Linked DNA regions of Neodiprion lecontei. The protein of the gene in region 2 purifies or fractionates together with the protein of the main gene of each other region. This does not show direct contact. Links are inferred from orthologs where the notes say so. Each region holds a gene or a part of one and is shown on either strand. Other genes may lie near its edges. The genes, in order: RNA helicase aquarius and pre-mRNA-splicing factor syf1 homolog.

Region 1 (10,153 bases), on a different chromosome or scaffold from region 2:
CTGTTTGTTTACATGTATTTTGAATTTGCGCGCGGGTAAAATCGGTGATTTTATAAACGGTACGGGTATATTCCGCTATTTGAGTCTGGCAGCACTGGGTTCAACCTTAATTCAACCCTAACTTAACTTGAACAAGCTTTGCCTACCCTAGCCTAGCCCAAGGAGCCTGGCCTTGCCTAGCTCAACGTAACCTAACCTAGTCTTGGCATTTCTGCAATATACATTTCTGTTGAGACATGCAAATGGGAATTATTGGCCAAGAGGTGGGCGAAAAAGCAGAGGGTTTTCGTACATTCGAATAAGGGTGGAAAAGAACGCGAAGGTAAACAAATCTGATCAAATGGCCGAATTTATGTGACTGCTATTTTCGGATACATATTCGGGGAATAGACATGAGTGACCGAACCGGATACGACACGGGTGATCGTTCTACGTTCTGTAAGAAATCCGGGCCGGTATAACGAAATACCGATAAATCGTACAACTGTCAAGTCCGAGTGATATAAGGAGAATAAAAAAGCCGCGCCGACAGCGGGAGCCGCGGCTCGCGTGATACTGAAATTCAATATAATTGAATGAAATGCACATTATGGTCATGCATGTAACACTAATAATAGTTCGTATCACAGTTGGCTTGGCCATGTATCAAGGATCCTCGGCATCATCCTCGGATGAAGGTAGCGTCGCTACCATAAAAATTGGAAAGTGCTGCAAATCCAACGAACTGATTGTCGATGATCGATGTACACCGATAAAAGAAGCCACACACGGAGCAGGACCGTGGAAGCCGATATTTACCGACGAGGATGGACACGGTTTAACAGACCAGCCAAAATTTGAATTAAAATTTGGACTACCAAAGTGTAAAAATGATGAAAGACAGTGGAAGATATACGACGTGCCGAACCCTCCCAACATGGATTTACTGAGAATCCTCTCGTCTGGTAAGCTGCGACATTGCACCCAGTGTAACCTTGACAATACGGACTCGACTGCTGATGAGCTGGTGGAAGGTGAACGGAACAATGCCAAAAACAAGAGATACTACGACTATGAATTTGGAACCTACTGCGCTGACAAGACAATATTACGCAAAGAAAACATGACAACATTCTATGCACGTGTGTGTTTGCCGATAAAGAAACACGTCATGCATACAGACGTCATGATGCGGCGAGTTATAGATCCGTCGTTTCGAGCCATATCCATTGCCTGCTATCTTGTCGTTGCGATCGTATACTTTGTCTTACCGCAATTGAAGAACTTGATTGGAAATATCGTAACAAGTCTGATGCTATGCCTTGTGGCGAATCATTGCGCGGCAATGGTCAGAATTTTCCCCGAGTTTGGCAGTCATGTGAACTTTTTGGTCGCAGGTATGTTCAGCAGTAATGTACTATCCGCTGAGTATGATATGAATATTAAATTAAAATTAAATGGTTAGTAGTATTAGCCACTATAGTATTGGTCTGCCAGCTTTCGTATTTACAATAGTTTGAGTAAACATAGGTGTGGCAGGGTACTTAACAACTCTATTGCTTTCAGATGTAGTTATGTATGTGTCACTGATGTCGGCGTTCTTCTGGTTAAGCAGTTTGGGCTACTATATATGGAAGACTTTTAGATCACGCAACATTTTCCTCCGCTCGACCGATGGAAAAAAGTACTGTTACTACTCTCTCTATGTGTGGTCCCTAACCACAGTTATAGGAACAATGGCGATTTTCTCACACTTCAAGTTGGACACCAACAAACCAATGATAGTCGACGTGCCGGACGCCCCCCAGGAAACCATAGGGTGGCTGGCTGTAGCAGTTCTTTTTACGCCCGTTGCATTTAGTGTCATTTTTAATGTATGGTTCGTTGCGACGACCACAAATTTCATGAAACGAATGAACACGTATGGCAGAATTCACCATAAAATGAAGTATAGTTTCAGAATGTTTGTATTTCTATTTATTATTATGGGGGTTGCCTGGTCATTTACCCTACTTTCCTGGATGAGATCAGAGTTGGAATACTGTTCCATTGTCATAAATTTGTTACAAGCCATTCTAATTCTATATGTATGCGTGTTCGGTCAAAGAAGAGTCACCTTCTTGTTGAGAAAAACTTGCAACTGTTGCAGCCCAGGTGACACTGCTCAGGGCCTCGATTGGGGTGAAGAAATGACAGCTATTAATCTGGGATAACTGTGTCGCACATTGCCGAGTCCCTACTGCTGACTAATAATTTCATTGTCAACGAGTTTGTGAAACCTACATTCCACAATTGAATCTATTTTTCCCATGACTTGACAAGTATTTACCATTCAACCATACTAATGCAAATCCAGAGATTTTAACATTTCGTCGGCAACAGCCGATTATCCACATAAATTATCCAATCATTTTGAAGGATGCAAATTTCAGCACCAAGGGTACTACTTTTATAAATCTCAATCAATTCCTACAATTAGCTCGATCGTATAATCAAATCCTTTGACGCAATCGCACCATATCTAAGTACTTAACTAATTATACATTTTGCTGTTTGAGTCGTCGCACGAGACTGATGAAACAAATTATAAAATATATTAGCCCGTCATCTGGTTTTGTAAAAAATTAACTCCAACTTCGAGGAAGCATATCTATTTTTAAGTAAACGGAATTTCTCAATTAGTATTAGGATTAAGCTCATCGATTGAAGAGTAACTCTGTACCTTGCACAGTGCCTTTGTTTTGAAATATTTAATGATAATATTTACAGAACACTAACGCACTTTAAGGCTCTCACTTGTTTAGTGCAGCGATCTCAAATCTTTATACCTAAATCTATTAATTGACATGAATAAAATTTTTTTAATCTGCAAACCGAAGTCAAAGTGTATTTGTACATACGTCTTGTGTCGTGTAGTAGTCGACTAATCCAAGAAGCAAGTATTGATTATTATTTTTAGGGAATACCGTACCAACCAAATCATTTGTGTCTAGAAAGTGCAAAGCATATACCAGGTGTAACATGTGCGAGCATTGTTACAATTAAGTTATTGCCCGTGTTTGTTGCTTTTTCACACACGACATCCTGACGGTAATACAGGAGAAAATTGAATAAGATTACTCACCTGGTTGAAAAGACCTCCCTCTGGGCGTTGCACCAAGTTGGAGAGTTGACACCGTACTACCAAATGACTGTCATCCATGACTGTGTTGAAGAAACGTCTGGTAGGCAGAAGAGCTTCCAAGTCGATAACCAACTCCAAGAACCTTTCGCAATAATGTATCTTGTCGGGAAAAATTGCTCCTGAAATGTGGCAAAAAGGGCACGATGTAAGTATATCAGCTGAAATATAGTAATTAAAAAAGATCTTGCCCATTAAATGACCAAAATAATTTCAATCAAATTGGGTTTATGAGGCAACTTGGTATAAACACGCACAAGGTTTGAGAAACGATATTTCCAGTTAAATTGTTGTAATTATAAATGACAGTAAAAAAAAAAAAATAAACAGAAAAGGATGCCATCAACATCCCAATCGTAAGGAAGAGATTGGATTAAAATCAGTAACGGTAATGTAACAAAACATGGAATAGTAAATCAGCATTTTACATCTTTAAATGGACTTTGAAGAATTAAAGGTTGCAAATCCAAATTTCAAACAATTACCGTATAATCGCAATTACATTCCAGAATTGCAATGTTCCCCAATAAAATTCTGAGATACGATACTGATCTCCTCAACCGTTGAATAAAAACTCTCTCATAGAAAGACTCACCCTCGAGTGGTACAGTTTCCAGGATAGTCATAAATTTGACCATCAATCTCTGTAGGAATCTCCGCTCCCAGTCCAACTTCTGTCTGATCTCTGGCTTATCTTTCTTTTGTATAATTTTCCAATATTTTCTCCACTTGGGAAACTTTCTAAACTCAAACTCACGTCTGCCCTGTTGCAGTGATACCCACATTGACAATGACACCAACCTCTTAACTTCATTTCTCACTAACGCTACTTCCATAGAATTGAAACAATGATTCAAAAAAACAATAAGCGCCGTCTGTTCTTTAAGATCAAAATCCATTGTACTCTCGTTCAAACAAGCTTCCAGAACTTGCTGAAAAAATCCAGGAAAATGTTGAGGATTCTTCGAAAAAGCTTCCCAGACTTGGACTCTCTCTCGAAATTTTTCGTTCAGCATTACAACTATCGACATCATGTGACTGTGTGACGTTTCTCCTGTACTATAATTTGGCCAAAGATAATTTTCCAGGTATTGGCTGAATTCGAGCATCATTATGCGCCTGATTGAAAACTTTGAAGCACATATCTCTTGTATGTATATATCTTCGATGATTACCGGATCAAACTGGAGGTGTGAGTTGGTTGTGTGAGGTGCCCAATATTTGTTGGCCAACTGGAAAATGGAAACGTATACAGGTGAATACTTGATATGTAAGTGCATATTTTGTAACCGCCCAATGAAATCGTATGAATTAATATCTGCATTCAAAACAACCGGTCAACATAACCTCCTCGCCGCTACCGCACAGGCATGTATCATTACATGCGCATGATTTATGTAATGTATAATTCACCTCGGTTACGTTCTCTGTTATGGCGACGAGGTAGAGTATGAAAAACAAGACGAGCATGTGTATAATTCATGAAAATACGATACAATTATGCTACCTGTGTTATTCTGTCGGCATTTATTTGATCGACCGTGGGCGCAGGATTATTAGTTTTAACGAGGAGTGAAACTGCTGGATTTTCCATTTTCAGATATGAAGTATTTCAACGCTGTAAGAGTAGGAAATTAAACTCCTACAAGACAAACTTCGTCCCTGTGATCAACCAACGACCGTGATTGAACGGATGAAATCGTCAGACGTTGACGCCGGTTGTGATTGTGGTTTATTAGACAATTGTTGTCTACGCCATAAACACGGTCTGCCAAGGGAGGTGATGTCACGGAATATCCATGCACCACGAATGGACTCACGGATGCGTTCCGAAATTAGCTAACAGTGCTGTCAACTATAGTTTATCTCTTTTGCACTACCGAGTTCGTGGGTAACTCCGCCTCAGTTCTAGGGGATTGTTGGCGCGCCGTCGGCTAGTTTCGGAACCACATGACATAATGGTGGGTAGAAACATTTCCTCAGTTGAAATACTCAGTTTGTTTTACAAGCCATCAGAAAATATGCAATTTCCGATCAGATGAGCGCGAGCGACCGAATCACGAAATATGGGAACGGAAATAATGCATGAACAGCTGGCTTAAAGGGGCGAAGGAGTAAGTGGCGACAATGAGCATCGAAATCAGGTCAGTTGTTGACTTGTTCTGCAACATAAATGAAAAGACATTTTAAATTCGCTATGCATACTGAGCTGGATAGTAAGTTTATTACTATCATCGCTACACATAAAATGAACCCACGGTAGTGTTAAAAAATATTAAATGATTCCCCTCCTCGACATCTCGCGTCCAATGTCAGTTATATTTCATTATTTATTTTTTTTTCTTCTCTTTCCAGCAGACCGTTATCACACAAGTTGTAGAGATGATAGTCGCCGCTGCGTGAGTGACCTTCAACGCGAGTGTGAGCAGCACACTTTAAGATAGATTCACGGCATATGTAGAGATGCTAAGAAATTGCAGTATCAATAGCAATCTCGGTTTTGCCGTCGATTGAAAAACGTGGTAATGGTATCAATGATTTTTTTTCCTGTCACTTCTACAGCGCTCGATGATGAAACTACAACTGGACGGTCGTACATTATACGATTTAATTTCACCTGACACATTTATCAACTGTTGTGTTGTTGTTGTTAACACAGTTTCTACGAAAGACCATGTAGTCTTCCGAAAAATGTGCGAGAAAGATCATTATCGGTTAGTTGGAAGTAAATTGGCGCAGGGCGTAGAAATTATATCACTGGAATATACATATATAACGTAACGATTCCAATGCAAATATGCATGACGTTTCTATACTAAATGGTTACAGCAGGAACAATCGCATCGCTACCAGGATTGCACATGGTGATTATACTTGCCACGATTTTATGATAAGTGGTGGGAAATTTTGTTAGTATCAATTTATATGTTACTTAAGTTACATACGCTACTGTCGCTGTCGCAATACTTACCTATACACGTTACACGATTGTAGCGGACAATAACAAACTCGAGGCTTATGTGACAAATTTGTTTTTCTGCGTGGCGCGTTTTATATGAGTATAGGGAAAGACTATTGTATAGGTACACAATGAACATCCATGCGAGGCTCAATTATTGAATACTAGCTACGACTGCGACTGACGCAGCCGATTTTACACGAGGCCCGCATAAACGGGTTCAATAAGTGAGCCTGTGAATGCAGCGAGTATAAGGAGTATTCGCTTGTAATACATTAGCTTTGTCGGAATTGGAAAGATAACCAATAAGAATTGTGAAAATTGACCTCAATGCGGTATTCGGAAAACGTGATCGACTGGTGTCACCCTCATTTTATACCAGTAACCGACAAGGCTTGACATTTATCGAAAGCCACGTACAATCCTGCAATGCTGATCGTTGGATACAATTCGGACCTACATCGATGCGATGAGCACTATATTGGTAATCTGGCCAAGTATACACAGGGTCGTTTGCCACCGCCAAGTTTTTCTCGCATTGTCGAGCATCAGCAGGTATAAGTCAGTATATAAATTGATATCGCACAAGTAACCCTCCTGCGATACCCTCATCATCAGGGAGGGTGTGGTCTACATAGCGCGTCACGCAGCTACATCGTATACCTACCGGATACAGTCATATTTATATCAAGACACGCATGACACTTAAAACACTAGGTATAATGTCCCTTATCGCTCGAACTGCGACAAACACACGGGTTCTATAAAAGGCGATGCGTGGAGCGAAGTAGACTTAACGTAATTTGATTTTCGCGAGTTGAGGACCGCTGGTGATATATTCGTGATTTATACCCCATAGCGTAAACGGTGAATATTCGGCGTTACGCCTGCAGCATCAACAAATTATCGTTGAAATCGCACGGGATATTATAATAACACGTAATAAATCGTACCGACGAGATGCGCGGCACTGCTCTGCACCAGACTGTCGCATCGTCGTGGCTGATAATACTGCACCTCGTAGGAGGGATTTTCGGGCATGGTATGCTTGTTGATCCAGTGAATAGGAGTAGCATGTGGCGAAAGGGATACTCGACTCCGATAAACTACAATGACAACGAAAACTTTTGCGGAGGATACGCGGTAGGTCTTTCACCAATCACCAATGGTTATATTTCACCAATTGTCCTGCGTTACCAGAGTTCGCTGCACTTCGGTTGTAGAATTAGCGCACAATATGATAATATCTGTTATGTCCTTCATATGAAAGAAGTTTCGGTAGATCGGTTATACGTCGTTTTGTTGAATTTCTTAGAAACAATGGAGCGAGAACAGCGGTCAATGCGGGATATGCGGAGACGATTATGCACTGAAGCAGCCGCGACCGAACGAAAATACAGGGACTTATGGAAATGGAATTATTGTTGCCACGTGAGTTTAATTATTATTCTTATTCTTGTTATAGCTGCTGATGCCGACTAACGAAGGAATACTACAAAAGTAAAGTTTGCACAGCAATAGTCTGTAAGGTGCGGGGTCGTGTCCCGTCACACCGATATAGGTGCATATTTTTTTATATCCGAACGTCTGACGGTTGAGAATAAGTCAATTCATGCAAAAAGCTGAAATGAATATTAAGAACAGAAAGTATTCAGATACGGATATACGTAGAATCATTGGACGATCAAAATTAAAAGGTAAGATATGATCGACAGCCGTTATCTTTACGGGTAACACTGATTTCCACTATCTGCGATTATCAACAGTATAACGTACCAATGACACGTTTGATATAGGTACGTATAGATTGTACAAGCAAGCCTAAGAAATAACAGACTGCAGAAAATGAGTAAACGGAAAGGTGATGTCTGTCCACGCATTCCTTATACGCATATACGTATATTACAATATATACATATACCTGTTCATACGGGATAATTTCTATCGGTTGTTGAAATCGAGTGCGAATAACGTCGCCGCGCCGCCCGCGATTTTACACGATACATATGCCGATACCCGCACAAGCGGTTCTAATTGTTGCTCACGAGTCAAGTATTCGGCGGATTACAAATGACCCTGTCGGTATATTAAAATTACTTTCGAGCAAACTGACCCGGCGATTATAATATGTTCACGTGACATAAACTAACTAACGTGTTCTAGCGTATTTAGGGAACAACTGCATTTTATGCCACGCATTGTTTTAATTTTAGTCATGTGTTTCTATAATGTTATTATCCGACCACAGCTACGAGCAAGGATCATGGGTGAACTTGACCGTGATGATAACTGCAAATCACAGAGGCTATTTTAATTTCAATATTTGCCCACTCGAGGATGGTCCTGAAGTAATTGAGACGGAAGATTGTTTCGAGATGTATCCTCTCATTTTGGACGAAGGTTCTTACGACTACACCCTCGCCACCTCGGCTACCGGCAGCTACACGGCAACCGTCAAGTTACCAGACTCATTAGTTTGCGAACACTGCGTGCTGAGATGGCACTGGAGGACGGGCAACAACTGGGGATTGTGTTCTACCGACGACGGATTCGGGCAGACCGGATCTCTTGGTTGCGGACCCCAGGAGACCTTCAGAACGTGTTCCGACATATCTATCCTATAACACGTCGCTTTACGTTTGTACACCCGCATCTTTTTCACCGTGGTATACATTTGTGTACGCGAACATTATACCGATTTCCGTACACTGTGAAAACAAGACAGGTAAGAGTTTGTCCTGCACATCGATCGTCGTAAGTCATCCCCATTCCGTGAGCAGGAAAATATACAAGAAGACGTTACGTTGCTTGTTGGCGGGCGATCTTGGTTTGGATTGCAGAAATTCCAGCGGTGTAATGAAATGGCATATGTTCGCAAGTTTCATTGTACGCAAGAAATTAGAAAGAGAAGGAAGGTACGTGCGAGCATGTGTCTTTCCAATATCTGCTGCTCATGCACGTTTCATGTCTCATCATTAGTAATAATTTTGATTGTAAGATTGTAAAATTGGAATACATTTTCATTATCAATCCAGTGAAATATAAATAAACAGATAAAACTGAACCGGTCAGTGCCGCAGTACACTGATTATTAATTAATCAAACATCGATGTATATCTACGTATAATAATGATATGTGTGTACATCGCGAGGTCCAATTCAGCGAGACGAGGAAATTATAGTAACACCGTACGGGTATATATCAGTATATACTATATAGGTACACACAAATGGGTTAAATGTATCATAACTCTGTGCGTGTGTTATAAATATACCAGTATCGAACGGTAAAAACTCTTTCTTCTTCTCTTCTCTTCAACGTACTGTACCTCGAGCTCTTGCCTCTCACCGGATCGAAAGATACACTACGGATAGGAGAGAGCGGTATACAGGGTAAAGGGGTAACGGCGACGATATGTTGTCGCTGTAGTAGGTATATCGAAGGTGGACTGTAGGTGCAGAGCGTATAATAGAGAGCCAGGAAAGAAGGCGAGGCGAGGCGCGGTGTGCCGAGGCGCGATGGAGATTCTCCGTTCACCGTTCGCCGTTCACCGTTCACCGTTCAACGTTCACCGGGCCGACAAGTCTCTGGAAGTACGTAGCAGCCTTCCGTAGCAGAGAAGGCTCCTGCGGTTACCGCCTGGCCAACCATACGCGTTTCTACGATCGGAGAGTAGAAAAAAATAAGTTTCGACGAATTAGAAGCACAGTATTGTACGCGCGGTAGTTGGTTGTACGCGTTTTCCCTAAAAAAAAAAAAAAAAAAATATACTCAAGGTGGGACGCGGGTCCTCACACGGGGAACAAAGAGATTCTTTCCTGCAAGAGTCTTGTGAACGTGAAATGTTGTGAACTGCTGCATGCACGCATTGATCCTCGTTTGCGGTGAAAGATACAAAATATCAGAAAAGTGTCGTGCAAAGATCTTCGCGTATAGTCAACGAGTGTCGAAATTGTGCGTCGCGCGGTAAAACAGTGGAAGTAACAACAATTATGCGTTAAGAATGCTAACCATGAAAATTTCAAGACGATGG
Region 2 (11,955 bases):
AATCAACAAAATTTCATTTTCGTTTCGTTCAATGTGATCTATTTTTTATTTTTTATTCAGACTTTGCAGAATATAATATTTAACATACGCTCTGTAGATATACATAGTTACAATTCAGAGTGCGCGTTTCAACCATATGTATTATGTGTATGTGAAAGTTTCCGTGTAAAGAGAGTGCAGAGCGTATATAGAAAAACAAAAATAAAATAAACGATACAGTCATTGAAGATCGCAGAATCCTGAGGGAAAATACACTATGTATTTATATGTATATGAAAATTTGTAAAGTATTTTGAATTTTGAAGATGTATCATATATTATACTATATATATATATATGTGTGTGTGTATATATAATATATACACATATATAAATATATACATAAGTCCTTAATCAGATGTATCTACCTATTTTTCCTATACCTATAGAGAATTTAGAAGAAAAAAATCTTTTCTCGGATCAGAAATACTCCGCATGAAGATCCATTATACCTAAGCATATAATAAAAATGGTCGAAATAAAGTATCTGTTATTGGTTCAACAAAGATATTGAAGGAACAAGCCGCATTAAAGAGTAGAGATATTAAATTTAAAAAAATTGTAATTAGTATATGAATTGAAACGAATTTCTCTTGGAAATTGTTGTAATTAAAGAAACTAAAAAAAAAAAATCGATAGATTGTAAAACATAGCGAAAAGTAATATCGATTTAGGTGAGCATAGAAGCACTACGATTTATTGAACTTTAAAATATAAATATATAAAATTAACTTATGACATTATATCATTGTTGAATAAACCCAATTAATATAGTATAATTACTTGTGGGCTGTATCATTCCTTGCAGACTGACCGACTTGCTTTCTCATACTCCCTGTACCTGAGAGACTGCCGCAGGCTATAGATGGTGACAATTTCTGCGGTGAAGCTGAGGGCAGTATTTCGCAGAGGGATGGCAAAGAGGCATAGCACGATACCACTCTCCACGCTCGGTCCTTGCCCAGAGCAACACATCCTCGTTTCGAGTGTGGCTCCCGCTGTGCCCATCCCCGAAAATCGAAGCAGTCCAGAAGCTCATCTGCAGAGATTTCTTTTCAAGACTGAGCGACCCTTTTTTTTTATTTATTTCTTCAACCTTATATCCAGTCGAGTATATCGATCATTGCAATATTATTATACCAAACTCGTTCTTCCAGAGCCGCTCTTTGCCTTGACTGCTGAGTCCTACAAACGCTGTGCTGATGTTCCCGGTCATCAACGTAGCTAGGAGATCTGTGCGAACAGCACTGACCACATGCGCCAATTTTCCACCCCAAGCTGCGCACTTCTCGCGAGCTGTGCTGTAGTTTGATGGGGTATCTGCGAGCCTGAACACTCCTAATGTTGGTAGGCAGCTTGCTTTTATTCCATGTCCATATGCTATTCCCAGTTTGCAACATACAGGCAGTTGAGGGGCACCGAATCGCACTATTCTGGTCTTTCATTTTAGTTTATTTGTCAGGTGGAACTAGCAATAGTTGTGAGTTCACCAATTTTTACTGGTACTTGTAAAGATCTTAATTTTGATTTCGCTTTAGTTTCCTGTGAGATGCTCGAGTATATATTTCTTTCAAGTCATTATATATAACGACGAATCTGAATTGGGTATTTGATAATTGGTGGACTTAACCCTGCAGCATGTTTTCATAAGCGCAAATGTGGCGTTCCATGCCAAATCAACCTGCAATCTCTGCTTCCTAACCGATTTGATTTTTTATTGCATTTCTTGGTATAAAGGAAATACCCAACAATTCATTATAGACTTTTTATCTGCTAGTTTTGACTACATGAAGTCCTTAATATATTGACTACATGTTATTTTTCAAACTTATTTCTTTTTTCCAAAATTTGTTTCAATAAAATTATTCGAAATGTACAAAATTGCAAGAAATGCTAAGAATTCATTTCATCTGGAGAATATTATTAGATAATTAGGTAAGGGTCACCCTGGTGAAAATGATTTCTACGATTTTCTGCGATTTTTTAGGGAAATTGGGACATTTTGGACAATTTCGCACAAAAAATTGTTTTCGTACAAAATTGTAAACATGCAGTTTTTCATAAAAACTTGTAGATTTTCTGAAAATGTGTATTTTTTCAGTAAAGAATCCACAAGCTACTACAATTTTTAAAGAAAATTAAAAATTCTTTCCGATAAACTACGCATACTTACAGTTTTGTACGAAATAATACGAAATGTTCCAATTTCTGTAAAAATCTGTAGCAGTAGAAATTTTGATCAAGGTAAGCGTTGATTGAATTGGCGTAGAATGCCTTGATGAAGCCCTTTATTCATCTGCAATGTTATTCTCACCCACGTTGCCGCCGTACGCGCTATAGTATTCGAATCTCGAATCCTTGACAAAACTGGTCGATTGAGGATGCAGTTCCATCGGGCATTCCAAAGCGATGCAATTATCTGATGATTATAAATGATATACGAATTGAACAGCCGCGGTGTAATTTAATTCAGGCAGAATTATTATATTAGCTGACCGCTGATCGTGATGTTTGAGGCATATTTCTTCGGACGAAAGTTGAACGCCAAAGCCTTTTTAGAAACGGCAAATTCTTTGCAGCTTTTCAGGTCCTCTAAATTACGTCTCGATATCGGTGTTGCGGTCGACCGCGTACATCGTTTCGTCAAGGCGTAAACCGGGTCTTTGCGAAATGAAATCTGCGAGCACTGAGCATTCGCCGGAGTCCAGCTCACCCGGCTCGCGACGACGAGCACCAGGACCATCCAGAGCACCATGCCTGACTCAAATTATAGCAACTAAATTTGCCTGAATCGTTTCGTTATACTCGACCCTTGATATATTTACAGTTGACGCTGATTTTTCACGACATTAGCGGTTGCGGATACGCAACTACGGTCGCAGACAATGCAGTGTTCAATTTACTCGTCATTGTCATGTGGATGCGTAATTAAATGGCTGCACATCCTGGCTGTGGACATTGAACGGTAGACAATGTCACCTGATAATGACAGACTCGTGTTCATTATCATCGGGTCGGGATGTCAAACTTTAGTGACGCTGCCCAGTGTCCTTGAAAATTGGGCAACCGACGTCTATGATTAATATTGATTTTTATGGATTTTAATGAACAACAATTGAAATTTTCAACTAATCAATATCTTTATTCGTCATTGGGGTGTAATTGTGCGTGAACTAGTTTCGTGATATTACGAAAAATACGTGAATAAATAATTTGCTATAAAATCCTATATTATGTCTATGAGATGATGAAGGGGAAAATTAGGGAACTTTTGCGGATTTTAAACCTTGTTCACGGCATCGATGGCTTTGCTCGCTTCGGCGAAGATGTCCTCGACCGCGCCCTCGGCATTTATCTAGCAGAAAATGTAACGATAAATCATTACAGTTAAATATCGGTGTAAGAATTTATTGCAGCTATGAAACTCCAATGGTCACATGCATTGTACATATGTACATACGTACCTTGACAACCTTGTCCTTGTAATGCTCGACGATCGGCCCGTTCTTCTCGTTGAATACTGCTATGCGTTTCTTGATTGTCTCCTCATTATCGTCGACTCTTCCCGACGAGGCCGCACGACCCAGTAACCTCTTTGTCAAAGTCTCGTTCGCCACGTCGAAGAAGAGCACTAGGTCCACCGGCCCGATCTACGATGGAATAATTAGAGGATTGAGTATATGCGTCGCGGATGCGTTTGGTCAACTGGAAAATATTATGGAAAGCAAAATTCTTACTTCTTTCTCAAATTCAAGCCCTTGGCTAAGTTCCCGTGGGTATCCGTCGATCAGGAACCCCGGGACCTTGTCCTCCTTTCCCTTGTTTATCTTCTCTTTGATCAGTCCGAGGACGACGTCCTGTATAATTGGTGATTAACAAAATAAACCATTGAATACCTTTTTTTTAAAGACATATTTTTGACTTCATATGCAACGTTTCATATTGCAACTAGAACGCGCTAATTTGATTTGATGTTGTCCGAAGACAGACGAGAAGACGAAAGAGAACTCTTTAGGAATTCGGGCCAAATGTCCCGCAACTTACGGATGGTACAAAGAGGCCTTGGGACATGAGCTCTTGGAGTTGGGCGCCCCTTGGACTGCCACTGGCGACTTCGTCCCGAAGAAGATCACCGCTGCTGAGATGAAGGAAGCCGTACTTTGCAACGATTTTCTCGCACTGGGTGCCCTTCCCGCATCCGGGACCGCCGACGACCCACAGTGTAACAGTCATCCTTCTCGATTTTTTGCTAACGTGTGATTCCTGGTTCGGCGCCTAAAAAACCAACAGCTGGGTCAGTAGTCGTGGGTTTCTGAACCACGAGCGGTATAAGAGTAGAGCTGATAACTCGCACAGCTAGGAGAATTTTATTTTTGAATTATACGATCTACTGGCATCCGTCCAATTCCGGCTGTTAGATGATTCGCTTTCGCATGAATTTATACGTTCGACGATCGCACGCGTGTTCTTAATTTATTGAAAAATCCCGAGGCCGGTCAAGTTATGTAACTGAACAAATTGTGTTCGAGCAATTACATTAAAAATTACAGAGCACCGTTGCGAGGCATGATTATTCCGGCTTACAAGCTGATGATTATCATTCTGTGCCCAAATCGGCGCGAGACCTCGCGTTACGCAGGTGCAAATTCGAACGCAACTAACCGACGTACCTCGATTGTTGCACCTTACCTGAGCGTGGTTGATCTTCGTGTTCGCGATCAGCAGATTAGAAGCCTTGTCCCGATAGTCGGCGACGAGAAAAAACGAGATGAACAGCAGCAGCGGAAGGATGCTCCACCAGAATAAACGTATGTCGGCGGCAGCGGTGGCGAGATCGTGGTTTAAATAATTGTGCAAGTTCTTACACGCGGATATACATATAATTATTGCCCTCCCGCGCTAGACAATATCATACAGCGCGCGCGTTACGCAAAGCTGCGTTTATAAATAAGTGCGTTATAGACGCGCGTTCAAGGTTTTGACGAGCTTTTAACATCTCTTCGCTGTTCTATTATACCTATTCGTTCTTGCAAACTGGTGTCATAATGCCAGAATGCATCAGTTTTCTTCGATATACGATAAAGAGGCTTGCAGAAGAGGAAAGCAGCTTTTATCCATATTCTATAAGTTTGAAATACGCACCCTTGTTTATACTGTATGAGTCATCCTCACAGTAGGCATGGTTCATGTAAAGTATACACGCATATTACAGCAAGAGTATAATAATTAAGCGATCAAAATACCAAAGGTGACGCATTTTGACTCCATAATTGCTGTCTGTACTTGTTTAATTGCCATTTTTACTAAGTAATGCGTGAATTATTGGTGATGGACGAATTAAAGTCTTAAAATAATATATAAAAATGAATTTAAGAGGAGCTGAGAGGAATCGATAGTCGGGTGCATGTAGAAGTGTACGTGTATAATCCGCATCTAATTGCAGAGACGATGTAGCTGGTAATTCCATGATAAAACGGAAGAGAAAGTATTCAAAGTGTGTTTGTTTACCTCTACTACTAGAATTATTTTACAAACAGCACGGAAGGTTGGTTTTCGCTGCTTTCATTGCAAGCGAGATATAATTTGGAAGGTGAAACTGTTCAATCCCAATTCCTACGGTTGACATTCGACGATAGGACTGCCGTCCTCTGGTGTCTTTACGGTCACAATAGATTCGGAAACAACTCAACGATTCCCCGTCTGCTCCGTCTGCGTCTGTATCATTTTGGTAGTTTCGGGTTGTTTGACGCGGTATTACTTGCTAAGTTAGGTCGTGCTATACAACGCTATACGTGTTACAGTTATGTCGCATTGTTATTAATTTGAAGAGAATAAAAGCCGGGTCTAGTCATTACTTGAGCAGAGATGATGCAGCGAGAGGATTCTGATGGGAATAGTTACATCTTCGTGAGTATAACCTTTAAATATTTTCGGTAACTAAACCTAACCTCAAAAAACAAATCAGCAACCTTCGTTATCTCTCGCAGAATGAGGAGGATCTGCCTTACGAGGAGGAAATCCTGCGGAATCCTTACTCTGTTAAGCACTGGCAACGCTACATTGATCACTTGAAGAGCACGAAGAGCGTTAACCTCAATATTGTCTATGAACGAGCCTTGAAGGAGCTGCCGGGAAGGTGAGCAAAGAGTTGCTCTATACTTTGAACGATCACTAAATGAAAATATTTTATAGCTACAAGTTATGGTATAACTACTTGCGTCAGAGGGTAAAACAGCTGAAGGGACGCTGCGTGACAGACCCGCTCTACGAGGATGTAAACAATGCTTTTGAACGAGCACTTGTATTCATGCACAAAATGCCTCGAATCTGGATGGACTATTGCACCCTGATGACCGATCAGTGTTACATCACGAGGACCCGTCAGGTATTCGATCGCTCGCTTCGGGCTCTTCCCATCACGCAGCATCATCGTGTCTGGCCACTTTACATTGGCTTCCTCAAGAAACACAATGTATATGAAACAGCTGTACGCGTCTTCAGGAGATATCTGAAGGTGAGTACTCCCCGATCGATTTATTTTCATACTAACATGAAATGGTACTCAAATACTACACGGATTAAGTCACATGGTTGCAGTTAGCTCCAGAAGATGCAGAGGAATACATAGAGTATTTGATATCGACGGGAAGACTGGACGAAGCTGCGGTCAAATTAGCCCAAATCGTAAACCAGGACGACTTTGTGTCAAAGCATGGTAAATCGAACCACCAGCTGTGGAACGAGCTCTGCGACCTTATATCAAAGAATCCTACCAAAATAAAATCCTTGAACGTTGATGCAATAATCAGAGGTGGATTGAGGCGATATACTGATCAGTTGGGTCCACTGTGGAATTCATTGGCTGATTATTACGTTCGTAGTGGCCTTTTTGAGCGCGTAAGTATCTTTTACAATTCGCAAAACAGTGAACGAGATCTTTGTACTTGGACCAAAAGGTTGTTTTTTCCATAGGCCAGAGATATCTACGAAGAAGCAATCCAGACAGTTTCCACTGTCAGGGACTTTACCCAAGTGTTTGATGCGTATGCCCAGTTTGAGGAACTCAGCCTCAGCAAGAGGATGGAGGATGCTGCCAAAAATCCCAATCCAACCGAAGAAGGTAAGTCTTAAATACTTGGCTCATTGACCCAAGTGAGATTATCTATTGTCTACAATTTCTATGATTTTATAGATGACATTGAACTCGAACTTCGATTAGCAAGATTTGAACACCTCATGGAGAGAAGACTGTTGTTGCTGAACAGTGTGCTGCTTAGGCAAAATCCGCACAACGTTCAAGAATGGCACAAACGAGTCATGCTCTATGAGGGGCAACCTCATGAGGTAACCAAAGTCGAAGAAACGTCAACATCTCTGCTTGGTTGATCAAGTCACTAACAGATGAAATTTCTCAGATAATCAACACGTATACAGAGGCTGTTCAAACGGTGTTGCCACAACAGGCAGTTGGCAAGTTGCACACACTGTGGGTTGCGTTTGCCAAATTCTATGAAGAGAATGGACAGATCGCAGATGCCAGAGTTGTTTTCGATAAAGCGACGCACGTCGCATACACGAAGGTTGATGATCTTGCTTCCGTTTGGTGCGAGTGGGCCGAAATGGAGATCAGGCACGAGTAAGTATTGATCATTACAAATAGTTGCAATTCCATTTTAGGAATTTACTGTAATTATGGTGTTCCATTTTCTTGTAATTAGCAATTGCAAAGAGGCCTTGAAGCTTATGCACAAGGCAACCACCATGCCCTCACGCAAAGTTGCGTATCACGACGAGACTGAGACCGTTCAAATGAGATTGTACAAGTCACTTAAAGTCTGGTCCATGTACGCTGATCTCGAGGAGAGCTTTGGTACATTCAAGGTACACCATGTAATATATCTATTGATTGTCAATAAAACTGGTCAACATTGAGTTGCTGATTACAGATGAATTTTCGTCTTTCAGACGTGCAAGGCTGTGTATGACAAGATCATAGATCTCAAAATTGCGACGCCGCAGATCATCATAAACTATGGTCTATTTTTGGAGGAGAATAACTATTTCGAGGAAGCCTTCAGGGTGGATATTTCTTTTTCTCTCAGCATGTAGCAATACACCTTGTATCTACATATCGCGGAATATTCGACGTTTACGCTTTTTTCTTTCAGGCCTACGAAAAGGGTATTGCTCTGTTTAAGTGGCCAAATGTATATGACATATGGAACACGTACCTCACCAAATTCCTGAAAAGATACGAGGGAACGAAATTGGAAAGAACTCGCGATCTGTTTGAACAATGCTTGGAACATTGCCCACCAAAGTATGCGAAGGGTAAGTTTGTTCTAAAATTGAATAGGTATACCAAATTTTACCTAAAGCCTGTCCGTCTTGATTTTAAACGACATTTAAATTCTTTTTGTTTATCAAGCTCTTTATTTGCTGTACGCGAAACTGGAAGAGGAACATGGCTTAGCAAGGCACGCGATGTCCGTATACGAGCGAGCGACTAGCGCTGTTTTACCAGAAGAAAGATTTGAGGTGGGTAACGGTGTTCGAAAGAATAGGTAAAAGTTTGTTGGGCGTAGTTTTTTCAATTTTTCATTCCTTTTAGATGTTCAACATATACATAAAGAAAGCCGCTGATATATACGGAGTGCCGAAGACGCGGCAGATCTATGAAAAGGCGATCGAAGTTCTGAATGAAGAAAATACGCGGGAGATGTGTCTCCGGTTTGCAGAGATGGAAACTAAGCTCGGTGAAGTCGATCGAGCGAGGGCGATTTACGCTCACTGCAGTCAAATATGCGATCCCCGGGTTAGCGAATTGCTTAACTTTATTTTAGTTATCTTTCTCAATGCTCTGTACGAGCAGCAAATAAGTAACACAGTGGTTCTTGTTCCTTAGGTAACGTCTAATTTCTGGCAAGTTTGGAAAGAGTTTGAAGTCCGCCACGGCAATGAGGACACGATGCGGGAAATGCTGCGAATCAAGAGAAGCGTGCAAGCAATGTACAACACCCAAGTAAACATGATGTCAGCACAGATGCTTAACAGTGCGACAAATCTCTCTATCGATGACAGTGCTGGCACCGGTGACGCTATGCGACTTTTGGACAACAAGATACCCTCAACCAGTACAGGTCAGTTTCTGGTTAAGTGTACGAACCTAAAGAAAAATTTGTAAAATGACTCATGTCTAATTATCGTTCCTCCTTCCAGATGCTGCTGCGCAACCCGGATTCAAAGATAATATCAAATTTGTACGAGGAGTAACTGAAGGAGCTGGAAAGTCCGAACGTCAAGTGAACAATCCAGATGAAATAGACATTGACATGGACGACGACAGTGAAGATGAGGAGAAAGAAATTGAAGAGGGTATAGTATTACATCTTCTTGTTCACTAGGAACGAAACTCCTCTTACACGAATATCCCCAGTTTGATGGTGTCTCGTTTTTCTAGATGTACCGGTAGAGAAACAAGCCATTCCATCGAAAGTTTTTGGAAGCCTCAAGGCCACCAAAGAGGACGAGGACGACTAAAGATTTTTCAATACGACATATTTGTTGTCATACGAGCATTCACCACTATGGTTTGATTCGAAGTGGAAAAAAAAACAAGTAAACTATTGTACATGTCGTTCATCTGTTTGGCTCCGAGCATTGCCTTGCACGTGGAGAATTGAAAATAAAATTCTGATTCGCGCCTGTATTGTCCGCCTTACCGTTTCTGTATCAACCTTGCATTTTGGAAAAACTTATGCGTAATAAAATATCAAAATGAAATCCTACAGATCAAGTTACGTTCAACACCCTAATGGACTGCCTGAGTGGTTTGGATCCTAAAATTTAAATCGATTGTATTCCACTACGTTGAAGAATATAAAGACTGTTACCCCTAGGTAAATTTTTGTGACCAGTTTTTGGCGGCCAAGTGAGCCCGGGTGGGCCTGGGACCGTAGAAGGGTTTTGCTCTATCGACTCTATCTAACGGGCTCTCGCCGACATTCCTAGCAACTAAAGTAGTGTCGGTATGGAAGCTTGAGATTGAGTCGGCACAAAGTGAGTACGTAAGACTGTTGACTGCGACTTAGAAATGTTCATCAGCTCGATGATCCCCGTGAGGAGACGCGTAACCGCGTCCACCGCCAACCGCCTCCGACGACCACCGCATCCACCGTCAACCACCCCAAATACCACCGAGCACCTCCAACCGCCGTCAACCACCTCCACCCACCTTCGTCCTCCCCCCCCCCCCCCCCCTCTTCCTGCTCGTACTCGCCCAACCCCCCGACCCACGTCTTCCTCGTCGACCGCCGATCACCTCCAGTTACCGCCAAACACTTCCTGCCCTCTCCAACCTCCGCCTAACCCCGCCTGCCACCTTCAAACACCTCCTACCACCCCCTGCCACCTCCTACTAGCACCTACCGCCCCTGCCACCTCCTGCAACCTCCAACCAGCTCCTACTACCTCCTACCTCCTCCTACCATTCTGAACACCTCCTACTATCCCCTGCGGCCGACGGCGATCTCCGACCACCTTCTAGCGCCCCCTACCACCTCCGACTAGCGCTTACCACCTCCTACCATTTCCGAACACGTCCAACCACCTCTGACCACTTTCGTCCACCTCGTCCACCTCGGCACCGTCCTCCTACTCCTCGCCGTCCATCGACCGCCACGTCGTTATCGTCTTCCTCGACCTCCGCCGATCACCTTCAACCACCGCCAAACACCTCCTACGGTGACTGATGAATAAATAACGACAGTTACCCTAACGCCGTGCCCTAAGGGGCTTTGGTGTGACAACCGAAAATCGTCGTGCGCTTGCGTGGGCGATTTTTTTTTTTTGGTAAGGAGAGAAAGAATGAAGCTTCTCAAAACGTCAAGTGTATTTTAACACACATTTGAAAGGTACAAGCAAATTTGTATCATCCAACTGTCGCAGAACGGCAGCGTTATTAGCAGACCCGTTAAATGAAGAATATATGTCTTTAGTCAAGGGCTGACCATCGAAGGACCTAGTCGCTTGAATCGGCAGGAAAGATAACGTGCATATTTCTTGTGTGTAATGTGAGAACTAAAATCATGATACATCTCGTCATATCATGCATCATACATCATACATCATACATGGTATTAAAGTTCAAAACCATAGTTTGGATGATCGGATTTTCAGAAAGTGACGTCTCCCGAAATTTTTCTTCTCTTGACGTCATCGATCTACAGTAATCAGCTAGTCGAATTCCTCAGTCTGGAAACAACCACGCAGTAGAGCGGACGTATGAAAATCGCGCTCCCCAGATTTCGGGTACCGGGTTCTCTACCTTCTGGATCCTGCGCTCCAAGTCCGCTTCCTGGTGCACGTCGAGTTCCGGGACTAGCGCTCCATAATTTCGGCGCTCCAGGTCCGCTACCTGGTGAAACTCGACCTCAGAGATAAGCGCTCCGACAGCCGGGAAATGACGACGAAAAGATCACCAGTTGAAAAATGTGAAGAACACAGGTTCTGGTTTTTCGCCTGTAACTTTTGACCCGTTGCTCGCAACGTATTGGTACTGCGCTTTATCGATTTCTCTCCCAAAATTACGTCGGAATAGTGCCAGAAAGAATTTATTTCAGCAGTTTTCAAAATCACGAAAATTTTTGCCAAAAATACATAGGGGTTAGCCTTACTTATTTTTTGGGAAAAAAATTTTTGGTCTCAAATTCGATTTGTATGACACTTTACTGCCTGATTGGACCACCAGGAACTCAGAAAACGCAGCAAGAAGTGCGTAGGACCAACAGCAGAGAAACAACGATGGAAAGAGCACCAGCTGAAAAATATCTAAAACACAGGAACTTGTTTTCTGGCTGTAACTTTTGATCCGTTGATCGCTGCCTATTCGGACTGCACTCAATCGATTTCTCTCGC

What was found.
Region 1: the proteins of pre-mRNA-splicing factor syf1 homolog (region 2) and RNA helicase aquarius fractionate together in Homo sapiens (co-fractionation; 3 studies listed by BioGRID and IntAct, with this or other methods). This does not show direct contact. The link is inferred for Neodiprion lecontei from reciprocal best matches to the Homo sapiens genes XAB2 and AQR.

What each region holds. Positions count from the first base shown.
Region 1 is NC_060266.1:123,115-133,267, reverse strand, and holds the start of RNA helicase aquarius, read right to left. Parts: upstream 4,904-10,153; 5' UTR 4,755-4,903; coding exon 4,668-4,754; intron 4,393-4,667; coding exon 3,756-4,392; intron 3,283-3,755; coding exon 3,104-3,282; intron 2,853-3,103; exon of another isoform or gene 2,193-2,852; coding exon of another isoform or gene 1,546-2,192; intron 1,377-1,545; coding exon of another isoform or gene 581-1,376; exon of another isoform or gene 1-580. Other genes in the region: probable G-protein coupled receptor Mth-like 5, read left to right, coding at 581-1,376, 1,546-2,192; uncharacterized protein LOC107223546, read left to right, coding at 7,080-7,262, 7,435-7,550, 8,368-8,743; putative epidermal cell surface receptor, read left to right, coding at 10,124-10,153.
Region 2 is NC_060264.1:23,211,785-23,223,739, forward strand, and holds pre-mRNA-splicing factor syf1 homolog, read left to right. Parts: upstream 1-5,610; 5' UTR 5,611-5,752; intron 5,753-5,767; exon of another isoform or gene 5,768-5,840; 5' UTR 5,841-5,904; coding exon 5,905-5,946; intron 5,947-6,026; coding exon 6,027-6,175; intron 6,176-6,231; coding exon 6,232-6,553; intron 6,554-6,636; coding exon 6,637-6,936; intron 6,937-7,011; coding exon 7,012-7,159; intron 7,160-7,231; coding exon 7,232-7,383; intron 7,384-7,454; coding exon 7,455-7,675; intron 7,676-7,757; coding exon 7,758-7,920; intron 7,921-8,004; coding exon 8,005-8,118; intron 8,119-8,207; coding exon 8,208-8,370; intron 8,371-8,467; coding exon 8,468-8,577; intron 8,578-8,650; coding exon 8,651-8,854; intron 8,855-8,944; coding exon 8,945-9,179; intron 9,180-9,258; coding exon 9,259-9,414; intron 9,415-9,499; coding exon 9,500-9,579; 3' UTR 9,580-9,748; downstream 9,749-11,955. Other genes in the region: uncharacterized protein LOC107224118, read right to left, coding at 819-1,078, 1,180-1,419, 2,354-2,458, 2,536-2,794; adenylate kinase isoenzyme 1, read right to left, coding at 3,320-3,394, 3,504-3,689, 3,777-3,896, 4,084-4,272. UniProt on the Homo sapiens protein: Involved in pre-mRNA splicing as component of the spliceosome. Involved in transcription-coupled repair (TCR), transcription and pre-mRNA splicing.